2 linked regions of the Tribolium castaneum genome follow. The protein of the gene in region 2 purifies or fractionates together with the protein of the main gene of each other region. This does not show direct contact. Links are inferred from orthologs where the notes say so. Each region holds a gene or a part of one and is shown on either strand. Other genes may lie near its edges.

Region 1 (4,428 bases), on a different chromosome or scaffold from region 2:
TCGCTGGAGACACACTTCCTTCTTTCAGCGTCTCATCCACTCGAAGCCGTTTCATTTCAAATTACATCGAGGCGGCTGAAAATTTACACAAAAAACTATTAATAAGTGGATGAAAATAATTTTTGTTTAATGTTACTCATTTTAAATACAATAACTAACGAAATTTTATCGAAATTAAAAAAAAATGTCTGAATTACCGACCAAAACACGAATTTTGAAAGATAATGAAATACCGCACTCACGGACGATGAAAAAATCTGTAGTCAAATCATGTGTATTTTCTTAAAACCTTTATTACATATTATGTTAAAGTTTTTCGTGAAATAATACGAAAGATGTTTACACGTCGCCATCATTTAATAATGGGACGTCTGTTATTATTGCTCGATAGGGGCTAATGCGCATAACGTAATCAATTACGCTGATAATGGGCGTTAATTTTTGTTCTATGAAAAGACTGAAGAGCTGGGTTAAAACTCGTTTGAACAAGTGTGACGGTTTACGTCTCTTCGAAATTTGTGTTTTTTTTTAAATGTGATTTAACCAAGTTTCATTTTTTAACACACGTGTGAAGACTTCCATTTGATTAGTTTATAATTACAAATCACGGCAATTAAACTTTTCACTTTTCGAGTTGAGAGACATCTGGTTGATATTATTACACTTTTGTGATAAGATTAAGAAAAACGTGTTCGTGTCATGATATGCTGCTATTTTATTACATTAATCGAATTCCTAACAATTACCTACCTTTTGTTTAATTAATAATTTCAGAAGATATTATGAATATTGTATTTCCGTGAAAAAATACAATGTTTTTTAGACAAAAAATATATAACCCATGATAATAACCGGTAAGCATTTTATTTAACATTCCATTATAAATTGGTTTCCAATAGAAATTACATTTTTTATTACATGTAAAACCAATTTTCATTTTCCAATACCTATAATTGTGATTATGTAAATTAATTTTTAACAATTTGCCATTTTTATCCTCTATCCACCGCTGTACAAACATTATTTCTGCATGTTATTACTGTCAGATCAGTTTTTGTAATTATCTCTGACCTTTTTCTTACAAATAAATAAATATACACCGTTAGTAATTATTATAACGTTATAATTTAAAACATACATAATAATACCTAAATTAAAAACAGAGACAAACTCTAATTTAAATAATTTTACTACCTATTTATTTGGTAGATAAATGAATAATATTAAAGTAGAGCACAATGTGACACATAATTACAGTTTTAATAAAATTCGCACAGACTACTCTTATGAAACACGTCCTACAGATTGAATAATTATCAAATTATTTCCCTCGTCTTACCTCTGAAATTTTATATAAACATGTTCATTCCAGCACGAAAATGTTATTCAAGAATTACTAAAAATCGTAAAAACAAAAATCTAAACTAGTATTTGACAAAAAAATAATTTGTGGAAATAAACATGTAAAAAAGCTTTTAAAAATGTAATTTGACCATACTGTTTTTTACAAGCTAGGAGAGCAAAATGATGACTTTATTTCGACATAACCTCAAAATAACATGTTACGTAAACAAAATCCAACAACATTTCGTCCATCATAGTCAAAACCACTGATATTTTTAAAGTTTTAATATAAGATTCGAGGAAAATTTGCAACAATATCGGCAACAACGTTCATGGAACATTTCTCGATCCCATGTTGAACATTTTCAATTCAGCTGATCCGCAAAACGACACGCCCACTTATTTATTTCTGGCATAAACAAAACCGGTAGCGTTTATACGAACTGCTACGCAGTTACTTATCGCGTCATTCCGGACAATAATGGCGTCGGTATTTCTCCCCGGAAAAAAAAACAAAACAAAACTCAGGGTAACAATTCTTATCATTTTGGCACTCGTGAGATAACCAAATAAATAGTCCATACCCTAAACCATTTATGCAAACAGTAAATCAACTTTCACGGATGACCTTGAAAAGGCGCGCGTCAAAGTTTTAGAAAGCCCGCATAAAAATCTCGTCACGTGTCGGTTTCTGGTGGCCATTTTTCGGCATTTGTGTTGTGGCAACGTTGCCACACCTTTGTGCATGAGTAATTTGTGGCAGTGGCAACGTTGCGTGTCGACTTCGCTCCCGCGATCTAGCAAGCTAGGCTCGCGATTGGCCAATGAAGGAATCGATAGGCGAGTGGAAGGGCAGGGAACCGGACGTGCGAGGCGCTGCGACCGAAGCGACCCAAACACGAAAGTGCATAAAGCCGAAAATCGGACGCGACTCTTTGTCAGTAAACAAATACAAAATGTTGCATCGAAATTTCGTAATTACCGAAAGGTCGGCAGATTTTCGGCGGAAAAGCGTTGCCAGGCCGACGAAATTTCCACGGAGGGAGAGTGCCGGCCCCCGCGACGGAGGCTAATTTTGGAACGCCGACGCCGAAATCGCGGAAAAACCATGGGAAATGCTGGAAAAGCGGCGCCGAATTGGGAATTGCAATTACACAACACTTGTGTCAATGTGAAAAGTTAAAAATATGTCACTCACCTTACAAAAGCCTCTTTCGCGGAAAGCGCTTCCGTGCGGACTGGTGCCGGGGATGCACCGTACAATTGCAACCGATCCGCGCTGATTTCACTGGGAAATAATTGGAAAACACTAGAATTCATCAAAAGAAAATTCTGACACATTCTGTTCCGAACCACCCGAAACGATGACCGATTGTCGACTGACTGGCTGCTTCAAATCTCCGAGCTTGTTTGGACGAGTCCATCAATTTCGGGTGGTTGGTCGCTTTGCCCACTTTCAAATTTTTCAAGTTTTTGATCACCAAAATGCACAAAACCTACACACAAACATTACGACGTGCCACAGGATGAGCTCCCAATTCCAGAAAAATTACACTTTAGTCATATTGTGGATTTTTTCAGTTTCGGATACTAGCGACCGCCCCTCGAATCAATTGTCTGATCCGTAAAAGGTTTGTTTGATGCTTGCTCTGATAGTTCAATGTGAAGAGAACAGTGGCGCTGTTATCGATTTTTAAAAATACCCGCCAAAGAACAATGTAGTGCCCATTTTCGGATTAGTTGAGCGTGTAGCAGATGTAAAAGTTTTAAACTGACCTCTGACTGTTATTAATCTTATTAAGCCGGACATCAAGATTCAAACTCTTTTTGTGTCTATTAATTATTATTAATAAACTACACCTAAACATTTTTATTACTATTAAAAATAATTATACCTACAAGAAATTAATCAACTAAACAATTTCTAAAAGTATTCGTGCCAATGATTACGTGGCTGCAGAGGCTAATAAAAAATATAAAATTAAATAAAAATCTGAAAACAAGTAAAAAACTTGTCTATGCAATTAATTCATAAATCCACTTTATGTTGAATATACATCCAGTGAACATTACTGCATAACACACACCTCAAGAAGACACATTTTAATTACTAATTATTAATTTAGTCACTCTCTTCGGCAATAAGAACCACAATGAAAAATTAAAAAAATAATAATAACTGAAGTGAGTGTATAAAAATAGTTGAAAATCACATTTTTGGATTCAAAACATCAAAAAAAAACACACACACACACACACACAGTGATGCATGGAGAACATTGGAAATTTAAAACAGGTCATAAATTCCATTTAAAAAATTATGTAGCAATCTGAAACTTGAAACAAATACCATATGCTAATATTTAAGAGCTTTTGAGCTTTTTGAGAAAGATAAGAGTTGAAAAAAAAATAAATTCACTTGGTTTATTGTATTTTGGGTTGCCCACTTCAATCAGTGCTTCTATTCTATGACAGACAATAAATAATTGAAGAAAATGGGGTCACGTTTGTGCTCCGAGTCAAAACGGCTCCAATACACTTCTGATAAACTTGTAAAAAATTACCGTAAAAAACAGAAACATCCAATTAGTTAGAATTCAACCCAAATTAATCCAATTATTATTCCCAATTAGATAATTCTTACAAAAACTAACTGTATTATTGGACCGTTTGGTTATGTATTTTATCGATTTAATTTTACATTATAAAAACCACGGGATTATAACTGTGAAAGATTTTCGGTTCAAATAATTTTCATTACGGGAAATACCATTGGAGCAAATACTATCAGCCATCACTATCAGCATAAGCCCAATTTAGCCAATCAGAAGGTAGAAACGTGTCATTAGAAAATTATGAACGTCAACCAGTTTTATTTTGAAGAAAGCGAGCCGCGAAAATATTATTCTTGCCAGTTTATTCCGAAAAAGTGCAAAATTGTTCTGACAATAAGATGAAAATAACGCTAGTTCTAGTAACACTCTTTTTTTACAACACAAAAGCACAAAAAATTGATGCTCAAGAGTTGAGGTGTTTAGGTAAAGAATGAATGATTTTTGTTGTAATGGTGTTTTGTAATTAGTG
Region 2 (3,215 bases):
AAAACAAGTGGAATTGCTTGTGACTGAAATGAAAGAGGCGAATTTACAAAGTTTGACTATAGCGCCACCTGAGGATTTACGAGCGATTTTGGAAGGTCCTAATAAGGGAAGTACCCGAAAAATGATTGGTTCGCCTCGACAATTGGAAAATGCTGTACCAACCAATAAAAACCCGCATGGAGTTTGGGTCTAATAAAATTGTAGTCATTTTGTTTAGCTTACCTCAGTCTAGGCGTGTTTGATTTTCAAGTCTGATAGTTTGTATTGACGCCATTTTAAATTATAAAAAGTGTTATTTATTGTTAGGTGATTGGATGATTTTTTACTTACACATTTTTGTTACTTTATTTTATTTTACACTGCCATATTGTGTGTAGTTGCATCACACAGGATTATGATAAAGAAATGATGTTAGATATATTTATTATTTTAAAATATTAAAATTATATTTAATTGCTATGTCGGAAATGTAAAATACACACAAAAATATTAAATTGCGTTTTTCTTCTTCTTTTTTCCCTTTAATTTAGAAATTGCAAGTTGGCGGGTTTGGAGGATTTAGGAATTTTTGGTTTTCTTTTATCAGGATTTTTCGAGGTTCCTGGTTAGGTTAACATTACCAGACACTGAGATGTTAGACATATTTATTATTTTAAAACATTCTATGAAATTATATTTAATTGCTATGTAAGAACTGTAAAATGCACACACCAATAAACTTATGTTTTCTCCTCTTTATCCTTATTATACTTTTCGAGTTCTCTTAAAAATTGCGCCTTGGGTTTCATAACATTGGGTCTATCACCTCTACACTTTGGACAATACCATTTACCTTTCGGTTTGGTGGTTAAAGTAACGCAAGAAAAGTGGAACCACTCGATTGGACACAAATCATTGTCGCACATAATCATTTCACCGTAAGAAATTTGATCACAGAGACAATAAGTGGGCTCATCGGGATCAATAATCGGCTCTTCCTCCCTTGGCGGAGATTCCTCTCTCTGTGCTTGCACTTGCTTCGATTTGCGCTTCTTCTTCTTCCCAGTCCCACTCTTCTTCGTCGAGTTGGCCGTGGACGGCACCTGGCTCCTCAAAACGTGCTCCACTGGGGCTGAATCATTATGATTCGACTCCAAGCCTGAGAAAGTGTCATGACGGGTGCGCCGCGCCCTCTTTGGAGGCCTCTCGACCAAACCCGCACTACTGCTGTTGTTATTAGGGGGCTGTTGCTCCTTGTTTTCGAGTTGAGTCGTCTCGTCTTTACCAAAATCTAGCAATCGCGTTTGACATGGTGTAAATTAAAAAAATACGAAAAGTACCTAAATTTTTGAAGTCCTGGTCCAACAAGCGCGTCTTGATCTCAATCTTGTCCAGAATTGACTGCAAGAGGTTCATTTTCTCGTCGCCCAGTTCCTGGGCTGCGATCAGGGCTTGCTGCATGCGGGCGAAGCCCCGGGCCTTTTTGGCGGGGTTATCGTTACCGATTTTTTTCCAGTTCTCGGTCTGGTATGCGGCTTCACGCACGCGGGCTGAAAGGGCGGCTTGAGGCCGGTTTTTGGATGAAAATAGCAAAGTTTACCCAAGTAACAGACGTCGAGTTCTCGCATCCTGGAGATTAGGCGTTGGAGTTCATCGGGGAGGTTCTCAACGCAATCCAAATAGTTCTCTACGTACGTGGCGGAATAAACGGCCTCGACGGACACTTGGTTCAACATGATTTTCAACGGGGAAAGTTACAAAAAGGTTAAAGGTTTACTTCAGCTTCACATATTTCAAACATAAGCCACCATTTTTGACATCAATCGCTGTTTACCGATTTTCACGGAGAAAAAAACCCCAGGACGGATACGCGCCAAACTCAATTTTTTACACGACCATTTTGTCTAAGGCCTAACTGCACCGGTTCTGCTTAATAAATAATCAAAAAAACTAAATTCTTGCCAAATTTCGTCTTTGATCTCCTAAAAAAATCACTAAATTTGTGTAATAATAAAAAAATTATCACAAATTTAACTTTTTTTTTGCACAAAAACTACTAAATTCAGCTCACCACTGCATTATTTTCAAGGTTTCAGTGCATTTTTCAGTCTGAAACTCACTTATTTTGCAAAATTCAAAATAAAAAATTATCGAATTGGGCCGCAAAAGACAATTTTTTCCATTTTCAAAGAGTTTCAGCACTTTTTCGTTAAGGAGCAAGAAAAAATTATGTTACTCTGTTATTAATTATTACCATCAACCACTTGCGGGAATCAAATGTACCACAAAAATTAATTTATATTAACTAAAGTTTAATGTTCTCTTGCATAAAATATTGATGCACAAATGCTCATACAAAGTATGAGTTTTAATAATAGGAGTTTTATTGGAACTAAAATGATTTTTATCTCCCAAGTTTTAACATGCATGTGAATAAAAAGTTAAACATGCAAAAAAGTGAGCATTCCATGTTTTAAATTTAAAAATAATGTTCCTAAACTTTAGGTCCGTTCAGTAAATATAAATTAAAAAAATGTAATTTTGGGGCTACACTCAACACCCCAGTTGTTGGCAAATAAATAGAAGAAAATAAATTTAAAAAAACAAGCATGGTCAATGTCTGCGAGATATTAGAGCTAAACCCGGCGCCTCCGCCATAAAGACACGACGAATAATTTCCAATTTCCGTCGAAATTTTCGCAACTTGTCAGTATTCCGGACAGAAGAATGTCTCTAGTAACCTTAAAAATGTCGACACAAGGCGGACGTTTCAAATAAATCAGGCTCAAGTCATAAAGAAAAATCCTTTTGTAGGAAACGTCCGATTTAATCTTTTGTGGCTTTATTGAACTTAATGAAAAGTTGCAATTAATTTCTTAAGTTTGAAACGTGACGCTTGAGCTAATTCCAGTCGGTCAGCGAAATCTGAAGTCGTAATAGCTGGTTTGCGCTAAATAAATCAAAATATTGTAACAATATAATTATGGAGGAAACGTGGGAGCAGCCAATGGTGGTGGCCCAACCCCCTCCAACACATGTAGGCGCCTTGGAAGGATAAAGAGTTTCAGCAACATCCTGAAACGCCTGTTGATCTGCAACCAGTTGTGTTAGAGGCCCAAGGAATTTTAGCAACTTGTAAGTTTCATGTTTTCGATGTTTGACCAAAAATCAATTGCCATTCGTGAAGTGAAGAATAATTAGGCGAAAAACGTGGGGAAAATAACTTGAAGAAAACG

Evidence for each region.
Region 1: the proteins of inhibitor of growth protein 1 (region 2) and Sin3A purify together in Homo sapiens (affinity purification with mass spectrometry; 5 studies listed by BioGRID and IntAct, counting the BioPlex papers as one, with this or other methods). This does not show direct contact. The link is inferred for Tribolium castaneum from reciprocal best matches to the Homo sapiens genes ING2 and SIN3A.

What each region holds. Positions count from the first base shown.
Region 1 is NC_087396.1:24,661,324-24,665,751, forward strand, and holds the start of Sin3A (paired amphipathic helix protein Sin3b), read right to left. Parts: upstream 3,130-4,428; 5' UTR 2,543-3,129; intron 2,463-2,542; 5' UTR 2,327-2,462; intron 76-2,326; 5' UTR 56-75; coding exon 1-55. Other genes in the region: sel (protein seele), read left to right, coding at 4,298-4,382. UniProt on the Homo sapiens protein: Acts as a transcriptional repressor. Corepressor for REST. Interacts with MXI1 to repress MYC responsive genes and antagonize MYC oncogenic activities. Also interacts with MXD1-MAX heterodimers to repress transcription by tethering SIN3A to DNA.
Region 2 is NC_087402.1:346,706-349,920, reverse strand, and holds inhibitor of growth protein 1, read right to left. Parts: upstream 1,838-3,215; 5' UTR 1,716-1,837; coding exon 1,580-1,715; intron 1,530-1,579; coding exon 1,320-1,529; intron 1,271-1,319; coding exon 720-1,270; 3' UTR 628-719; downstream 1-627. Other genes in the region: RASSF8 (ras association domain-containing protein 8), read left to right, coding at 1-193. UniProt on the Homo sapiens protein: Seems to be involved in p53/TP53 activation and p53/TP53-dependent apoptotic pathways, probably by enhancing acetylation of p53/TP53. Component of a mSin3A-like corepressor complex, which is probably involved in deacetylation of nucleosomal histones.